3 linked regions of the Caenorhabditis elegans genome follow. The protein of the gene in region 2 interacts with the protein of the main gene of each other region in a pairwise test. Each region holds a gene or a part of one and is shown on either strand. Other genes may lie near its edges.

Evidence for each region.
Region 1: the proteins of F57C12.2 (region 2) and mdt-19 interact in a two-hybrid assay, tested with the Caenorhabditis elegans proteins (one large-scale study listed by BioGRID).
Region 3: the proteins of F57C12.2 (region 2) and cbp-3 interact in a two-hybrid assay, tested with the Caenorhabditis elegans proteins (one large-scale study listed by BioGRID).

The regions. Positions count from the first base shown.
Region 1 is NC_003281.10:2,596,075-2,603,816, reverse strand, and holds mdt-19 (Mediator of RNA polymerase II transcription subunit 19), read right to left. Parts: upstream 5,765-7,742; 5' UTR 5,757-5,764; coding exon 5,666-5,756; intron 5,620-5,665; coding exon 5,352-5,619; intron 4,760-5,351; exon of another isoform or gene 4,649-4,759; intron 4,504-4,648; coding exon 4,263-4,503; 3' UTR 4,251-4,262; intron 783-4,250; 3' UTR 605-782; downstream 1-604. Other genes in the region: apb-1 (AP complex subunit beta), read left to right, coding at 6,795-6,831, 6,887-7,128.
Region 2 is NC_003284.9:548,763-553,334, forward strand, and holds F57C12.2 (RING-type domain-containing protein), read right to left. Parts: upstream 2,631-4,572; 5' UTR 2,606-2,630; coding exon 2,511-2,605; intron 2,443-2,510; coding exon 2,266-2,442; intron 1,304-2,265; coding exon 1,103-1,303; intron 1,054-1,102; coding exon 756-1,053; intron 707-755; coding exon 632-706; 3' UTR 593-631; downstream 1-592.
Region 3 is NC_003281.10:9,912,823-9,917,528, reverse strand, and holds cbp-3 (histone acetyltransferase), read right to left. Parts: upstream 2,989-4,706; 5' UTR 2,899-2,988; coding exon 2,803-2,898; intron 2,751-2,802; coding exon 2,624-2,750; intron 2,493-2,623; coding exon 2,376-2,492; intron 2,326-2,375; coding exon 2,205-2,325; intron 2,161-2,204; coding exon 2,022-2,160; 3' UTR 1,340-2,021; coding exon of another isoform or gene 1,202-1,339; 3' UTR 1,150-1,201; coding exon of another isoform or gene 995-1,149; 3' UTR 943-994; coding exon of another isoform or gene 872-942; 3' UTR 580-871; downstream 1-579. Other genes in the region: F40F12.9 (CCHC-type domain-containing protein), read right to left, coding at 3,849-3,979, 4,251-4,382, 4,430-4,508.

The sequences.
Region 1 (7,742 bases), on a different chromosome or scaffold from region 2:
GGAAAAGCCTAAAATTAAAAAATCGCAAAATTCAAGAAAAATGCCGGATATTTTTTTTTAGATCTGATATTTTATAGCAAAAATGTACAGAAAAAATACTCGAATTTTTCGAAAATTCCATAAAACCACTTTATTTTTCAGAATTGTCAAATTGTTTTATGATCGCAAAATGTTCAAAAAATTTTTTTTTTGAAAAGTTCCAAACTTTTTTTTTGCAAAATTTTGAAAATCCCAAAACATTTTTAAAATATTTATTTATATTTTCTGATATTTTAGAATTTTTTTCCAAAAAAACTAGAAAAATTAAAATAAAAAATTTTCGAATTTTTGAAAAAAAATGTTTAATAGATTTTTCTAATACTCTTTTTTAATTAAAAAAATTAATGAATTTTTTTGAATAATTTTTTCTTCAAAAATTTCTCAAATTTTCAAGACACCGCCTCCAAACTGCCAGCTTCACCTATCAAATCAGATTGCTCGTCTGGATTGTGGTAATATATCATATACACTTGTACATCAACACGCTAATCTTTTTCGTCAATGTAATGATATATCAGGTAATATTGACTGATATTAATTAAACAAAAATAACAAAAAAATGAAGAAAAAATAATTTAATTTATAGGTTAATTTTCAGAAGGATATCGTCGAAATTTATCGCGAAGTGGATCATTGTTGAATGAATTTAATTGCCATTGGTTTTTGACATTTCAGACATATTTATCGAGAGGAGAACTGGTACAGACGAGCTTTGTGTTGGGTGAGTTGAGTAGGAGAGAATTCTGAAAAAAATTGAATTTTAGCAAAAATCTTCACATTTTTCATTTTTTTTCCTACAAAAAAAAATTTAATAAACCATTTTTCCCCAGATGTTTAGAACAATTTCTGGAAAATTTTCGGATTAAAAAAATTCTGAATATTCAGATTTTTTCTTTTTCTCAAACATTCGTTTGAAAATTCATGGTAATTTGAAAAAACTTTTTTTCTTGATTTTTGGAAATTTTTTCAGAATTTCGGATTAAAATTATTTTTTGAAAATAAAAAATCCACAATTTCTATTGTTTTTCCTACAAAAAAAAATATTTTTCTTTTCAGATTTTTAGAAAAATTTCTGAATATTGTTCAGATATTTTTTAAAGAAAAAATCCTATCTAAAAATATTCAAATTTTTTTGGATTTTTTCCAGAAAATGTTCGACAAAAAAAAGAAATTTTAGAAATGACTACTTTTTTAATTTTCAATCTAATAATTGAATAAAAAAGGATTTTTTAAGATAAAAATTCGAAAAATGTTTGGTTTTTTTGTGAAAAAAATCAACGATTTCGAATTTGAACTTGAAATTGAACGAATTTGAACGAATCGAACGTATTTTTTCGAAAAAAAAATTCTGGATTTTTTCAAGGAAAAGAACTAAAAATTGATAATTTTTCTCGACTTTTAGTAAAAAAAAAATTTTTCCGTTTTTTTCAGTAAAAATCTACATTTTTCCGGAGCAATTCTGAAAAAAGTCGATGAAAACTCGGAAAAATTCAACTTTTCATGAAAAAAAGTCAAAAAATCGTAAAAACCCCATTTTTTCAATGTTTTGCCAATAAAATACCAACATTTTTTGATTTTCCACTGAAAAAATTAATTTTTTTTTCAAATTTGCTAAATTTCCAGACATTGTCGCCCTGCTGCTCGCCTTGATAGCCCCATTCTACGCAATTTTTGGCTATTTTTTCTCAAAAAATGCGAAAAAAGTGATACGAGCTCTGTCGATTTCAACAATTTCTTCATTTATTCCAGTCATTATTACAATGTTCATTATTCATTCAACAAATACTCAAGAACCAAAAAATGAAGAACAATTTTTATATTATACAGAAGCTGATTGGAGCCTATTTTGTGAAACTCTTGGATGCTTTTTGAGTGGGTTTTTTGACATTTTTTCGATGAAAAATTGAAGTTTAGAACGATTTTTAGAATAAATTTGTGTATTTTTCTGATTTTTACTGTTAAATTGTGTAAAATTTGAATCGAAATTTTTTTTACCTAAAATTTTGAAAACTACACAATTTTTACGAGAATTTAAAAAATTTCCATTTTTTAGCTGAAAACTCGAAAAAAAATTTTTTTTCAAACAACTGAAAATTTCAGATTTTTTCTGAAAAACTGAGTTTCTATGTAGAAATTAGATTTTTTTTTTAATTTTAAGAAAAACTGAATTTTAGAACGATTTTAAGGCTAAATTTCTGTAATTTTCTGAATTTTTTCCGATTTTTCCTACTAATTTAAGCACAATTTGAGCCAGAATCGAAATTTTTTTTACCTAAAATTTTGAAAACTACACAATTTTTACGAGAATTTAAAAAATTTCCATTTTTTAGCTGAAAACTCGAAAAAAAATTTTTTTTCAAACAACTGAAAATTTCAGATTTTTTCTGAAAAACTGAGTTTCTATGTAGAAATTAGATTTTTTTTTTAATTTTAAGAAAAACTGAATTTTAGAACGATTTTAAGGCTAAATTTCTGTAATTTTCTGAATTTTTTCCGATTTTTCCTACTAATTTAAGCACAATTTGAGCCAGAATCGAAATTTTTGTACCTAAAATTTTGAAAACTACACAATTTTCACCAGATTTCAAAAAAAATCGATGTTTTTAAAATTAAAAACCGAAATGTTCAATTTTTGCCTGAAAAACTGAATTTCTATGCAGAAATTGAATTTTTTTTTGATTTTCTCGTACGGAAACCAAATTTTAAAATTTTTTCATTGAAACAACTAAAAAATTCAAAAATTTCTACAAAAAAAACTGAAAGATTTCTTCGAAATATTATTTTTTTAATAATTTTCACTCAAAAATTGTAAAATTCAACTGAAAATTCGTTTTTTCAATTTGATCAGTTATGGCGACAAATTCAGAATCTTCAATTTGTTTCAAATTTATTTTCTAATTTTTTCTGAGAAAATCAAATGAAACCTTGATTTTTTTCGATTTTTTGTCAACAATTTAGGAAAAAAAACCTCGAATATTTCTCGAAATTCACATAATTAGCCAATTAATTTTCTTAAATTTCGCAAAAATCATCTGAAAATTGAATTTAAATTTGAATATCACTCTAAAAATTGCGGGAAATCGCAGAAAATCAATTTTTCCAAAGATTTTTATTCTTTTCCATTTTTTTTTTAATTTTAAATCCAATTTCAGTGGCTCTAACAACACACATCTGTATGGTAGAGCATCGTCACTCATTGGAGCGTCAGCTGAGCCAACGGCGTCGAAGACAACTGCATAATGCTCTAATGTCTTCCTGCAAACAGGATATTGCAATGGCGATTCGCGCAAGAATGACTGTTATTTAATAATTTTATTTTATGGGAAATTGCTTTAAAACATGCCTATGGTACAACAATAACCAAATATCATAGTAAAAAAATTCAAAAAATTATTTCAAATTTTTTAATGATTTTTTTTAATTGAAAAAATCTCAGTTTTTGACTTGACTTTCCTATTTGAATTTCCGCCAATATTTCATTTTTTTTTCTTAATTTTCACCGATTTTCTAAGTTTTCAGTGTATTTTTACAAGAAATTCGAAGAAAAAGTCAAAACAGATGCAAATTTTTGGTTTAAAAGCTACTTTAAAAGCGTAAATCCGTGAAATTAATCAATTCAGGTTCGAAATCGCATAAATGCGTTTTTTAAATTTTTTTTTTTTACCAAAAACTAGAAGATTTCTTCAAAAAATTGGGTTTTTTCCAATTTTATCACTTTTGGCGATAATTTTTTTAAAGAATCCTCAATAATTTTTTCCAAATTTTCTAGCTCTTTTACGTTCAAAAAATCAACTGAAAAAATTATGTTTTTTTTCTTAAAATTTTACTCGAAATTCTCATAATTTGCTAATTATTTTTCCTAAATTTCGCGCGAAAATCATCTGAAAATTGAATTAAAAATGCTTTTTAATCGAAAATTTAATTTATTTTGACTTTTTCTTCAAATTCCATGTAAAAATACACTGAAAACTTGGAAAATCGGTGAAAAATAAGGCAAAATAACAATAAATAAATAATAAAACGGAAATTCAAATCGGAATTTGGCAAAAACTGAGATTTTTTCAATTTAAAAAAAATCATATAAATTTTAGAAATTTTTTTTGAATTTTTTTATCATGATATTCGGTCATTGAGGCACTGGCGCTACACCACCTTTAATAAATACGACTTTTTTATTCATTTTTTTTCCTCAAAATTGAGCTTAAACCCACCCAAAATCCCCCCTAAAACTCCATTGGCTCATCGGCGGCTCTTTTTCTTTTCTCCGCATCGCCTAATTCTTCTTTTTCCTTCTTTCTCTTCTTATCCTTCTTCTTTTTCTTGTGTTTCTTCGGAAATCCTTTCTCCGTCTCATCATCATCAAATCCATATGCGTCGTATTGTTGCCGAACCCGTATTAAATTCAATTTCTCGCTGTACGCCAGATTTGGTTCCTCTTTTCGGCGCTCGAATAGGTGGCGATATCTGGAAAAATTTAATTTTAATTAATTAATCTTATTTTGTGGAATTTTTATCGATTTCGCGCAAAAAATGACAAAAAGAAGTTAAAAATGCCTCCCGTAAATCTACAAAATTAAAGGCGCATGGTCTCTTGCGCTGGTTGGGTCTCACAACGATCACTACAAAAATGCAAGAATTTGTCTGAAAAATAGCGGAAAAATTATTTAAAAGTTTAAAATGTTGGTGTTGACCTGTAAAATTGAATATTTAATCTTATTTTGTGGAATTTTCATCGATTTCGTGCAAAAATTGGACCAAAAACTATTAAAACCGTTGGGTCTCGCAGCGATTTCTACAAAAATAGGAGAATTAATTAAAAAATTTCGGACATTTGATTAAAACGTTCGAAATAGTGGCGATAAGCTTATTTTGTCGAAACTTCACCGTTTTCGTTCAAAAATTGGGCTAAAACTGTTAAAAAATTATTTCCGTAAATCTACAAAATTAAAGGCGCATGGTCTCTATTGATTGTTGAGTCTCGCAACGATCACTACAAAAATGCCAGAATTAATTCAAAAATTTGCGGAAATTGAATTAAAATGTTCGAAAGAGTGGCGCTGTGCTTATTCAGTTGAATTTCCACCGTTTTTGTGCAAAAATTGGCCTAAAACTATTTAAAATGCCACCAGTAAATCTACAAAAATTAAAGGTGCATGGTCCCTATCGTCCGTTGGGTCTCGCAGCGATTTCTACAAAAATGGGAGAAATGTTTAAAAATAGCGAAATTCCGCAATATTTTGCGGAAAACATCAAAATTAATGGGAAATTTCAATTTTAAATCAGAAAAATCTAGAACATCGTCGAATTTGCACCTTTCATCGACGGGCCCAGCAGAAAGCTTGAATCCCTGCATCGAAGAGCTCGTCAAATTCGAAATTTCCTTGTGAATCGGCGGTTTTTCGATGAGAGCTCGCAGTGAGCTCGCCTCTTTCGTCGCGTCCAAGTGAAATTCGCCGATTATATGCGGCAAAAACGAGGAGATTTTCTCCTTAACTCGTCTGCTACCACTGAATCCTCCCTCAACAGGCCCGAGCTCGTACGACATGAGAAGATCGTGATTTCCCTGAATTTCGCTGTACGCTGGAATAAAAAATTGGGTTTTGAGCAGATTTTTGAAGAAACTCACGTGGAAGTAGAGCTTTTAATGTGTAAAATGGCTCGTTTTTCGAGCTTTTGCTCTTTACGGGCGGCCCCGAGCAGGCCGATGGCTCGTTCATGCCTGAAATTGTAATTTTAAGCCGGGAGATTTTTAAAATTCAATTAATTTAATTGAAAGAGGGAAAATATTGAAAAAAAAGTGGGATTTTTCCAGCAAAATCCTAGAATTTGAGTGAAAAAGTAAGCTTTTTTTTGGTTTGAAGTTTGTTTTGAAACATTTTTGAGTCAATTTCGCCTAATTTTTGGGGTTTCAGCGGTAAAAAAAAACTTTTTTTTTCAGTTCTAAAGACTAAAAAAGTACAGATTTAGGCCTTTTTTTAAATTTTTTGTTTGAAACTAGATTCGAAACAAGTCATTTTTCGCAATATTCGGCTAATTTCAGTAGTTTCAGAGATTATAAGTCTGCAAAGTTGAAGATGACCACAGGGATTTCAAAAATATTCCAGAAAACTGGAATGTTTCTGGAAAAAAAAAATCGAAAAACTATATAAAAAGTGAAAAAAGGTCAGAAATTCGTTTTTTTTTTTAACTTTTCTTTTGCTTTAATTTGCGCGGGAATTCAAAAATAACTTGGAAAATGCAATATTTCGGAAAAAATTAGCCAGAAACATGAAAATTGGTGTAACGAACAAATTGTGGATAATTTTTGGTCAAAATAGTAAATTTTTAATAACAATAATTCATATTTTATCAACTTTATGCGAAAAATGTATCAAAAAACCAGATTCATCAACGATTTCTTTCAAAAAAACATTAAAAAACGTTTAAAATCGAGAAATTAAAATAAAAATAAAATAAATCCAAAAACGCGCAAAGGCTCCCCACTGACGCGTTTCCCCGATTTGCTTGCGCACTTTCCGTGGCCACTTTTATCCCTTTTTCTCTGTCCTTCTCTCTCCCTTTTCGGCAATATTTGGAGGTTTTGCGGGACGGAAATCTTTGCGCACACGGCAACTTATCGATTTTTCATTCTTTTCCGCCCAAAATTCTGCATCTCCGCCAACTTCTGCGGCTCCAATTTCCTTGAAACCTCGATTTTATTACGAAAATTTGAATTTTTACCCTTTTTCACATTTATCTTTCAGGGGTATCACAAGATGACCGACTCCAAATATTTCACCACCACAAAGAAAGGTATTTTTATATCGTTTTCAATGAATTTAACTCAAATTTCCAATTTTTATTGCAGGAGAAATATTCGAACTGAAAAATGAGCTCAACTCTGACAAAAAGGAGAAGAAAAAAGAGGCTGTGAAGAAGGTTATCGCCAGTATGACAGTCGGAAAAGACGTCAGCGCTCTATTTCCCGATGTGGTGAATTGTATGCAGACGGATAATGTTGAATTGAAGAAATTAGTCTATCTGTATTTGATGAATTACGCGAAATCGCAGCCTGATCTCGCGATTATGGCGGTTAACACGTTTGTTAAGGTAGGGGAGACAGCTTGAGAAGGTTCAAAAGTAGAAAATTGGCTCAAAAAGTTGTAAAAATTGCTCGAAAAGCTGAAAATTCGCTCAAAAAGCTGAAAATTTTGCTCAAACGCTGAAAATTTGCTCAAATGCTGAAAATTCGCTCCAAAAGCTGAAATTTTGCTTAAATATATAAGAAATTCGCCCAAAAGCTGCAAACACTCCCGCGCGAATTGTCTTTGTTTTTTCTCATTTAAAACTTGAAAATAAAATTATTTTAAATTTAAAAATACCATTATTATCCCAGACGTTTCAGATTTCCCGGCAAAATTCTCCGAATTTTCGTAAAACCGGGGAAAAATTATAAAAATGGCATTTTTCCGGGGAAAAGCAAGAACAAACCAGATTTTTTCAGCTTTTTTCGGTCGTTTTTCGGAAATTTTTAATAATTTTGCACTTTTTTCAGGACTGTGAAGATCCAAATCTTGAGAAAATAGTGGAAATTTTCCCCAAAAAGCTGTTAAATTTGCAGAGGAGCAACTTTTTATCACTTTTGAGAGGAAAATTACATTTTTTGCGGGTTTTTTCCTTCAGTTCATTTTTACTCAAAAAGCTGTTAAACTTGCTTAAAAACT
Region 2 (4,572 bases):
CAAAAGAATTCACCCAAAACTTTAGGAACTATTAGAAAAAGAAAAATATGTACGGCTCTTGCGGGCCAGCCTAAATTATATATTTATTGACTTTTCATTTTCTTTTCTTGATTCAAGTCAATAAACAATACAATATGCATTTCGGGGTTGGCAACTGTGCTCAGACTCCGTGGTGTTGCCAGTTTTCCCGAAGAAGTATCTCTGTTGCACCATACTGTGCGTACAAGTTCTACACGCCACCCCCTTGAGCCTGTGGCCACGTCTGTATTAAAAAAAAATTTTGCTGATGCCATTCAATTCCAAGTCCTAATTACCCATGAGCCTAAATTTTCATGACATTACCTCAAAAATTAAAAAAAATGAGGTCAATAAATCAAAAAATTGGCTGTACAAGTTGTATACGCCACCTTTATTTTTTGGTAGTTTTTCAAAACTTTCAATTTTAGAGAGGCAGTGACCATCAAACAATCCGAGTGAATATCAGTGCAGAATAGCTGTTCCTAACGTAAGACCGTAAGACCTGAAACATGGATTTCGGCTCCCACGTGAGATTTAAATTCAGAATCGTGAGGATTGAATAAATAAAGTCAAAGTTCATAAACACAGACTTTATTTGCAAATGAAACGAAAGTTATGAGGTCTGGAGCGTCATAGTGGTACGACAAGCTGGGCATGTGGGATTGATGCAGGTCCATTGTTGAAGACACTGAAGTTTCTATTTTTAGTTGGAAAATCCGAAAAAGCAAGACACCTACTCTTTCATGAAACTTTTTGCGACACGTTGTGCATTTTGGAAAACGCATCTCCTCCTTACATATGGCACATTCGGTATCTTGCAGCTCATTTTCTACATGCGTCGGCGTCGGTTGCAGGTTTCGATTAACTGATTCTTCGTTTGACGACAGTGCAGCACTTATCATTGCCAAGGTGTTCACTTGCGCCGTGTTCTCGTTATAAAGCAGTTTCAACGTTGAATTTTCTTCTCTCAGCTGTCTGTTTTCGTTAGAGAGATTTGAGATAGTAACAACTTGTTGAGCTCCTGTTACAGACAATCTGAAAAGAATTGGTTTTGAAAAATCAACACAAAACAAGTTATGCTCACTTTTCCACTTCTTGTCGCCACACATTTTCCTGCACTTTCCTGACTTCCGCCAATCTATTTTCATTTCTCATATCTGATTCGTTGTTTTTTGATAACTGATTTGAGTTTTGTTGTTCCTCTTTCAATTGGGTCACCTTTTCATTTAATTTATTGATTTCCTTTTTTTGGTTTTCAATTTTTGTTTTAGCATCACTGAGTTTGCTAAAAAAAATTTCACATCGGGAGTAAGCGACAACTGGCGATTTTGATTAATATGTGTTGTTTTTATAAGAAAATTATATATACATAGGTTTGAGAAAATTGTTGCTAGAGTTTTACACTAAATTACATGTGTTATGAAAATTTTCAGCAATCGGCAATTGCCAAAATACCTTTAGAACTATTTGCATTTTTTTGAAGCTGACATATTCCATCACATTTCAATTAGGTTTAAAAAAATCGTAACTTTTTTTAGACTTAACGATGATGTTTTCTACTCTGCGGTTGCAATGAAACTGTATGACTTGACGAAATTGTCATTTGGTATTTCTCTACATAAAGCCTTTTGCCATTCAAAGTAAAGTTGCGTTAGAGGGAAAGCTGCTTAAAATCATATAGAACTTTTTAAACTTATACTTCAACAATTTTCTTAAATACACAAACATTTTCTTAAGAACACAAACATTTTCAATTACATTTTTTTTCAATTTTTCAAAATATATTTTGGCTGTTCAACAATACATATATGTATTCTATTTCCTCTATTAGTCTTGCAGCCTCTATTAGTATTGCAGTCTCTGACAGTCTTGCACATCTATTTTTGCCTTGCCAGTAATAGAATGAGGAAGCTACAACAAATTTGAGATTTTTTGGGTAAAATGAACTCAAAAGTGTTCAAATAGCAAATGAAATATTGGAATTTTTTTTCATGGTTTGAACGGAACAAAGTCATGTTTTTGAACGGAAATTTACAATCTGTCCAAAGTTATGGGGCATTAGAAAATTTGTCTTGCAGTCTCCTATAGTCTTGCACCTCTACAGTCAATCGAAAATGAGTCTTGCATGCAAGACTAATAGAGAATACTGTAGATGTGTTCTTACATTTATATGGCATTTTTCATCTTTTCATAGTTTTTGAATTGTAAAAAAAAATTTGGTTTAGAACTGCGAAAAAAATGACCCACCTTTCATATTCTAGGCTCCACATGTTTTCTGTGACATTCGGTGTTTTTGGTGAGTTTTTCTCTGATAATTGAGTTTCCAAGTTTTGCTTTTCCATTTTCAATTTTTGAATTGCTCCATGCAACTGAGTGATCGATTTCTTCTGGTTTTCAACTTTCAAATTTGCCTCATTGTACTTTCTGAAAATTGGTATTTGACATAACTTTTTTTCCAAACTAGAAATCAAAACTTATATCTGAAAACTTACTGTATCAATGCTTTTTGTGTATAATTCTGATTAACCAAATTGTTTTGCAACGAAGAAACCTGCGAAATCGCTGAAGGGTTATCTGGGTAGCTCATTCTGAAAAGTAGTAAATATAAAATTAAAATCAATTTCACTAATAGGAAAAGAGAAATGGGGTATGTTTTACTATGTATACAGGCGCACAGCAACTGATAAAAATGTGTTGCTGTATTGACAAACCGTTATCATTTTTCTTTAGCTGATTCACTCTACATTATTTTCGGTCTCTTGAAACAAAAGTAGTTGGCGAAATGGTGAAAATATTGTTTATTGTAGCCAAGAAACACAGCAACCGACACCTCACGAGTTTATTTTTACCAACTTCTATTCAAGCATAACAACAGTTCAATTGTGTCAGTTACATTTATTTGAAAACTGTGTAAAATGAACAAAAAAAATGCATACATTTCTGGTCACTACTGTATATAATCTTTAGCGTGGCAAAACCAATCGCGGCTTAACCCGATCAAGGGTGTCGGTTTTGGAAATCGAAAACATTGAAAAATTGGCTGTCACGACCGAACTAATTTTTTGGTTATTAGAACATTTTCTTTGTTGTACGTCTGGTTGACTAATTGTTGCATTACAAGTTGTTTTGAATCGAGATAATGGACAGGGTTCCCAAAAGTTGAGCTGGAAGTTGGAAAATCGAAAAGTCAAAAAATCAACAAACAAAATCGTTTTTAAATCGTTCCATAAAAAATGCTTGGGTCGGTATTTTGAGTTAAAACATTTTGAAATGGAACAATCAATGACCCAGGTGTTCAATAAAAAATAAATTTAGATTATCAGCTGAATAGTTCAGTTTTGGCAAACAATTTTTTTTGAAACCGACACCCGCGAACCCGATATATCCATTTGAAGTTTCATTTCTATGGTGCAGAGAAAGAACAAGAACACGTTTTGTTCCTCACGGAAAGCGGGTAGAAATATTATTCAATTCTTCTTTATTCTGCGATAACATGCAGCCGTTCGCTGTAACTAGTATTCTAATGCTAATTAATTTCAGATTTGCAACTTTATGTTTAAACTTATACTTATTGTTTGCGATTTTTTGTTTGAAACGAATTACCTACAGACATGAGCTGTCACTTATTTATTGTAAGTTCGCGATTGATATAATGTTTCGTTTAATTGGCAAGTTTGGCCAATGGCATGGAAAATTTACAACACTGACGGCATCGAATTGTTAAAAATAGCTTCAAAATGTGTTTGCGAATTCGTATAGAGTTTATTATCAACACTTCTATTTCTGCGATTATTCATTTGCAAATTATTCTTGAAATCTCAAACTCATACCTGGTCTTTTGGTTTATCAAGAGTAAGGAAATCACGGCGTTATAAATTCACATTTTTATATTTTCAGGCAACACAATTAGCCTTTCTGGAGTCTGCAATTGTTATCGTTTCCAATATTTTTCCATTGTTTATTTACGCTCAATTTTCAGCGATCAACTTTCAGACATGTGGCCCGATTACTACAGTATTGAAGTTTTTTGGATACGTTATAGAAGCATTGATAATTTATAACATTTTTGCGGGAGAAGGTCAAGTCAATTACAAATGTGTTTCCGTTATCTTGAATATTCATTTTTTAAACTCATTTGATTATATGTCATTTTTGAAAAATGACTCAAACAACTTCTGCCAACAAAACAAAAAAAAAATTTCCAATATGCCTTGTTGAACCTAGAAATTATTTTCTTTTCAGTTTTTTTAAAATTATTTTCTTTTTTTTTCTTTTCTTTATAATATTTTCTTTTCAGGCTCGTTGAGCATTCACTGTTGCGAAAAAGTTGCAGGCAAAATTTCGATACATATGTAGGTGAAGTTTACTTAATGTAAAAACATATTCACGTGGTGTCAGGCTGTCCCATCGCTACACTGCACACAAAATGCGCGAAATTTTTTTTATTTTGTGAAGTTACAGCGCATTTCGAATAATTGTTTTTTAGTTCAAGCACGAATTTTCGTGAAGTGGAGCTATGGGACAGCATGACACCACGTGCATGTATTAGAATTT
Region 3 (4,706 bases), on a different chromosome or scaffold from region 2:
GACACTTTACCAAGCGCGTTCTGCAACGATGCAATACTAAATTCTCCTCTTATGAAGATAGACTTAGCATAATGAAACTCTTCTCCACCAGACACACTAGAATTAAAGCTCAAATGAAACTACTCTATAGATTCCTCACTGGATCCTCCCACTTCCCTAGGCTTAATCAATTTGTCTCATTCGCTAGCTCTAATAGGCACCCTATGATTCTCGTTAGAAAGGACAGTTGCACCGCTCACTTTTTTGCCCAGTCAGTTCCCATTTGGAATAATCTTTTCAAAAACGTACCGGTTTTCCTCTCTCCTTTCCAATTTTCTCACTTTCTCGATCTTCACATTCCCCGGTATTGAAACTATGTGATCTCGAGTCCGTTTTCTTTTCTTTATAATTCTTTATTCTCTATTCTTCTTTTTTTTTCTGTTTTTTAATTCTTACCTCGCCCATTTCCCACACTCGAGATGAACTCTTGCTGGGTTTGTCTCGTTTTATAAATTTATTTTCTCATTAAACCTTAAATTGTACTACCTTTCAATGTATTACCTTTTGGCTCTTAATGTTGAAAATAAATCAAATCAAATCAAATCAAAGGAAAATTCCAAGCTTTATTCAAATTTTGCCAAATTTTCAAAAACCTTTAGTTCTCGTCCATTAACCAGAAAAAAAAATTTTACTGGAAAAAATATAAATAAGTAGAAATAAAAATGAAGTTTTGAAAAAAATCACGAAATTTTTTATCTCACTAATTACTCTAGAATTGGTCGAAAAGCTGATTAGAAATGGTTTTTTTTACTAATTAGACGTGGTTCCATGTTATTTGAGAATCTAATACAAAAATAAATCCAATAGTTACAAAAATTCTAACTACACTTCAGGCAAAAGGAAAACTTATGTGTGAAGGAAGGCCTGCATCGGGAGTGAAAGTCAAATTAATGGAATCTGACAGTATGTGAAAAGCTTCTGAAAATGAATTTTCTATTTACCTGTCTATTTTCAGATAGTTTCCTGCCGGGATTTCTTGACAGAGATGATAAGATGGCATCAGGAAAGGCTGACTCAAATGGAGAATTCAATTTGAGTGGATCTACCAAGGAAATCACCGGAATCGAGCCATATTTGGCTGTTTTCCATGATTGTAAGGACGGAATTACGGTGAGTTTAGAATTTTTTATTCTAATAAAAAAATTCCTATAGTAATTTTCAGCCGTGCCAAAGAGTCCTCCGCATCAATATTCCAAAATCTTACGCCAACTGGGGAAGTTCTGCAGAGAAAACATTTAATGCTGGAAATCTCGAACTTGCTGGAAAGTTTCCAGGAGAAACTAGAAGTTGTTTCAATTGATTGGTATATTATAAATGCTTTTTGAAAAAAAATTGAGAAGTAGTTATGAAAAATAATAAAATAACTATTTACAAATTTTCTATTAAACTGGAACGTATTTTATTCAGTCGAGTTGCCATTATTGCCATTAGAAAAATATATAGGATCCGAGAAAATAAAGAGAATTGGAAACTGAAAAAAAACACACCAGTGATTTCTGATCCGGAGGGTGGCATTTTGATAAAATCTGTACTTCAATATGCGTAAGGATTTTCAGAGAGGCAGGTACCTGGTGCATAGGTAGAAAGGCAGTTATGATGCAGCTACATCTGGCACGCACCCAAAAATATTTTAGTAGTTTTTACAGCCCTAAATGATACTTTAGCATATTCAATTCAATCAAATATGTATTTCACATTTTTCACTTTTACAATTTTCGAAAGGTACATTTAATTATATATATAACAAACACCAACCGAATTCTGAAAAGTCAATTTGAAATAATCAGCATATTAATTAATATAGCTACGAAGAATATATGTTGTTGATGCAGCACATCTTTGATTTTCCCGCATCTGAAAATAATCTATTAGAGGAACCTTCAAAAACACTGGATCCGCATTGGAATGATATCAGTTTTTGATCAAGACTTTCTGAGCAGAAGTAAGATGCGTTAAGAGTTGGAGTCAGAACTCACAGAGAATCAATCATGGAACAACTGTGGATTCTTCATAAGTTCGGCAAATGCCAATTCGAGTTCTTCAGCATTCAACTGAACATTGATATCCATTAATGGTTGTTGGCTTTGATTTTGCCTATTTGTCTCAGTTTCTTGGTTGGTTCTGTGATAAAAATTTTTATATATGGTTTAATGTTATATTCTTACCTTGACTGATGTCCACCTTCACCAACTGACATTGCCGAAGATCCAATTTGATGAATTACTTCACCATCTGCACTTCCATAAGAATTTCCGTTGGCGCCTATCAGACTGATCACATCGGGCACTGTAAACTTACAATTATTCAAAAATGTTCTGAGGTAGAATAAAACTTACATGAAAATTGTAATGGAGTATCTTGTATCCCTTTGAGTGGTTTGCAGACCGGGCAATCTTCCCTCGAGCAGTCTTTCCAGTGAGCTATTATTTGGCGAGACGATGCACAATGAGCGACTGAACATTTTTTTAGTTTGTGAGGTATCGGCGGAAACAGTGACTAGAGTGTGAAGCGAAATTTTTGGTGGAAATAGGCGCTTGTTCTTGCGAAAATGTTCGAAACTCTTTCCAGCTCGTAATAGACTTACAATGACATAAACGACCAACATTGCAGTTTGTCATGTGAATCAATACTTCCTTCATAGTTGAGCAATGGGGTAATGTACATGCAGCATGTGGAAGTAGTTGATTCCTGGCAGCAAACTCATTATTTTCCTGAAACAACTGGTGATGAATGAAGGAAATCAGAACATATTGCAAAACATACCTTCTCACGTTGAGAACATTTGTGTGCATGGAGTAAAAGAACAAATTGTTGCTGAATAAGCTTCCGCTTCACGGGATCTTGATGCAGTGCAAGCATGGTTATCCAAAAGTTGTTGCCGTCCAGAGATGATGTTACGGCTTTTTGTTCTAAACAGATGTTATCATACAGTTTCGGTCATCATTTTTTCTAAAAACAAGTTTGGTTGATAACTTTAATTGTGCTTATCTGTTCTTATTTTAAAAATTTCTTAAAACACGTAGAAAAAATTGTTTTTTGATAAAATATTTTAGTGATAGTCAAAAACTAACAATTTTATACGACAAAAAATTATAAGGTTGAAAATGCAAAAACCAGTGATTTCATAAACTGATATTTGCTTGATCCAAAAATGAACAAAGTTATACAAAACCTAAAGAAAAACTCCATACAAAAGGTGTTAAAATTGGGTAATTTCAGGCTTATGGTTTGCCTGAAAAATTTTCAAAACGGCAAAATCTGAATGAAATTGAATAAAAATCATTTAGAAGAGATCTAAATAGTTATCCATTTTAGATTGTAACAAATGAGAGAACTGACGAATATTGCATCACAATTTGGTTTTGAATATCATTCGTTGATTTGTACATTTTTAACTCATTTATAAAATATAGGAAAGAAAGGAAAAATTATACACAAAAAGCAATGTTTTGTAAGAAATGTATTACAAGTCGCTAAAAGTTTTGCTCTGAATCACTTGTTTTAAGAATGAGCAAAAGCGAAATGAAATGAAAGAGTGGATGTTATCAGTAAATAGCATGTGATACACTGCGATTGTGAAATCGGAAAGTAACCGAAATGATAATTATCGTTTTTGCTGGTGACGCCATTGATGTACTGTGTTACTATTTCAACATAGTGAAACACTATGTTGAGTGTGAAAATTTATAAAAACTCGGTGCGTATATGGACTATTAATTAAATGTTGCACTTTATTCTGCCAAATTTATTTACAGTACAAAGACGCAACATCACTTATGCATGCAGAGAATGAGAACAAAAGCAGCTCTTCAAAATTGCACTGGATTCTTGTAGACATCGCATGGAGCTCGAAGCATCAGTGGCTTTCTGGTGATGTGGCAGACACTATTAGATGCAAACGTCGTGTTGTAAACTGCCAGCAGAGCAATGAGAAAAACAACTGAAAAAGTGATCATTAGTATGAAAACCAGAAAACGTAACGAACGTCTTTTCACATAGATTGAACACAATATTCTCAAGTTTCTATTAAAGTATGTTTTATGACACATTTATCCAAATTCCTTTGAAAAAGTAAAAATATTTTATTATCAACAAATATAAAGCTATTTTTGCACGAATAAAAGTTAAGAGACACGATAAGTTATTTCATGAACTTGAAGTTTTTTGGCATTGATAACAACTTTTCAATTCGCTGTTTTCCCCGTGATTACATTTTTTCTCTATTTGTGATGGGCATTCTCGGTAATAATGTCCACGGAATCCACATTTGAAACATGCTTTAGGTTGTTCTTCAGGGCAATCACGAGACATATGACCAAGTTTGTGGCAGTTGTAGCATATACCTGTAAGAAACAAGTAACTTAATTATTATGCCATATAAAGTTTAAACTTTGTTCCAAATTGTGCATGCTTGAGGTTTCAGAACTGTCAGTGGGTTCTTGAAATTTACAGCAATTGTTATGGGGCATGACTGAAAATTCGGAATATTGATAGTGAGTCACAAATATTTACAGGTAAAGTAGCTCTAACTAAATAATACGGTAAAACTTTTCAAAATTAATTTTTAAAAATTTTGGCATTAATAAGTGACTGAACATTTTTGGCAGTTTGCCAAAACTTTTACTGTGAATTTTCACATTTCTGGAAAATGTAAAAATTCTTTATTA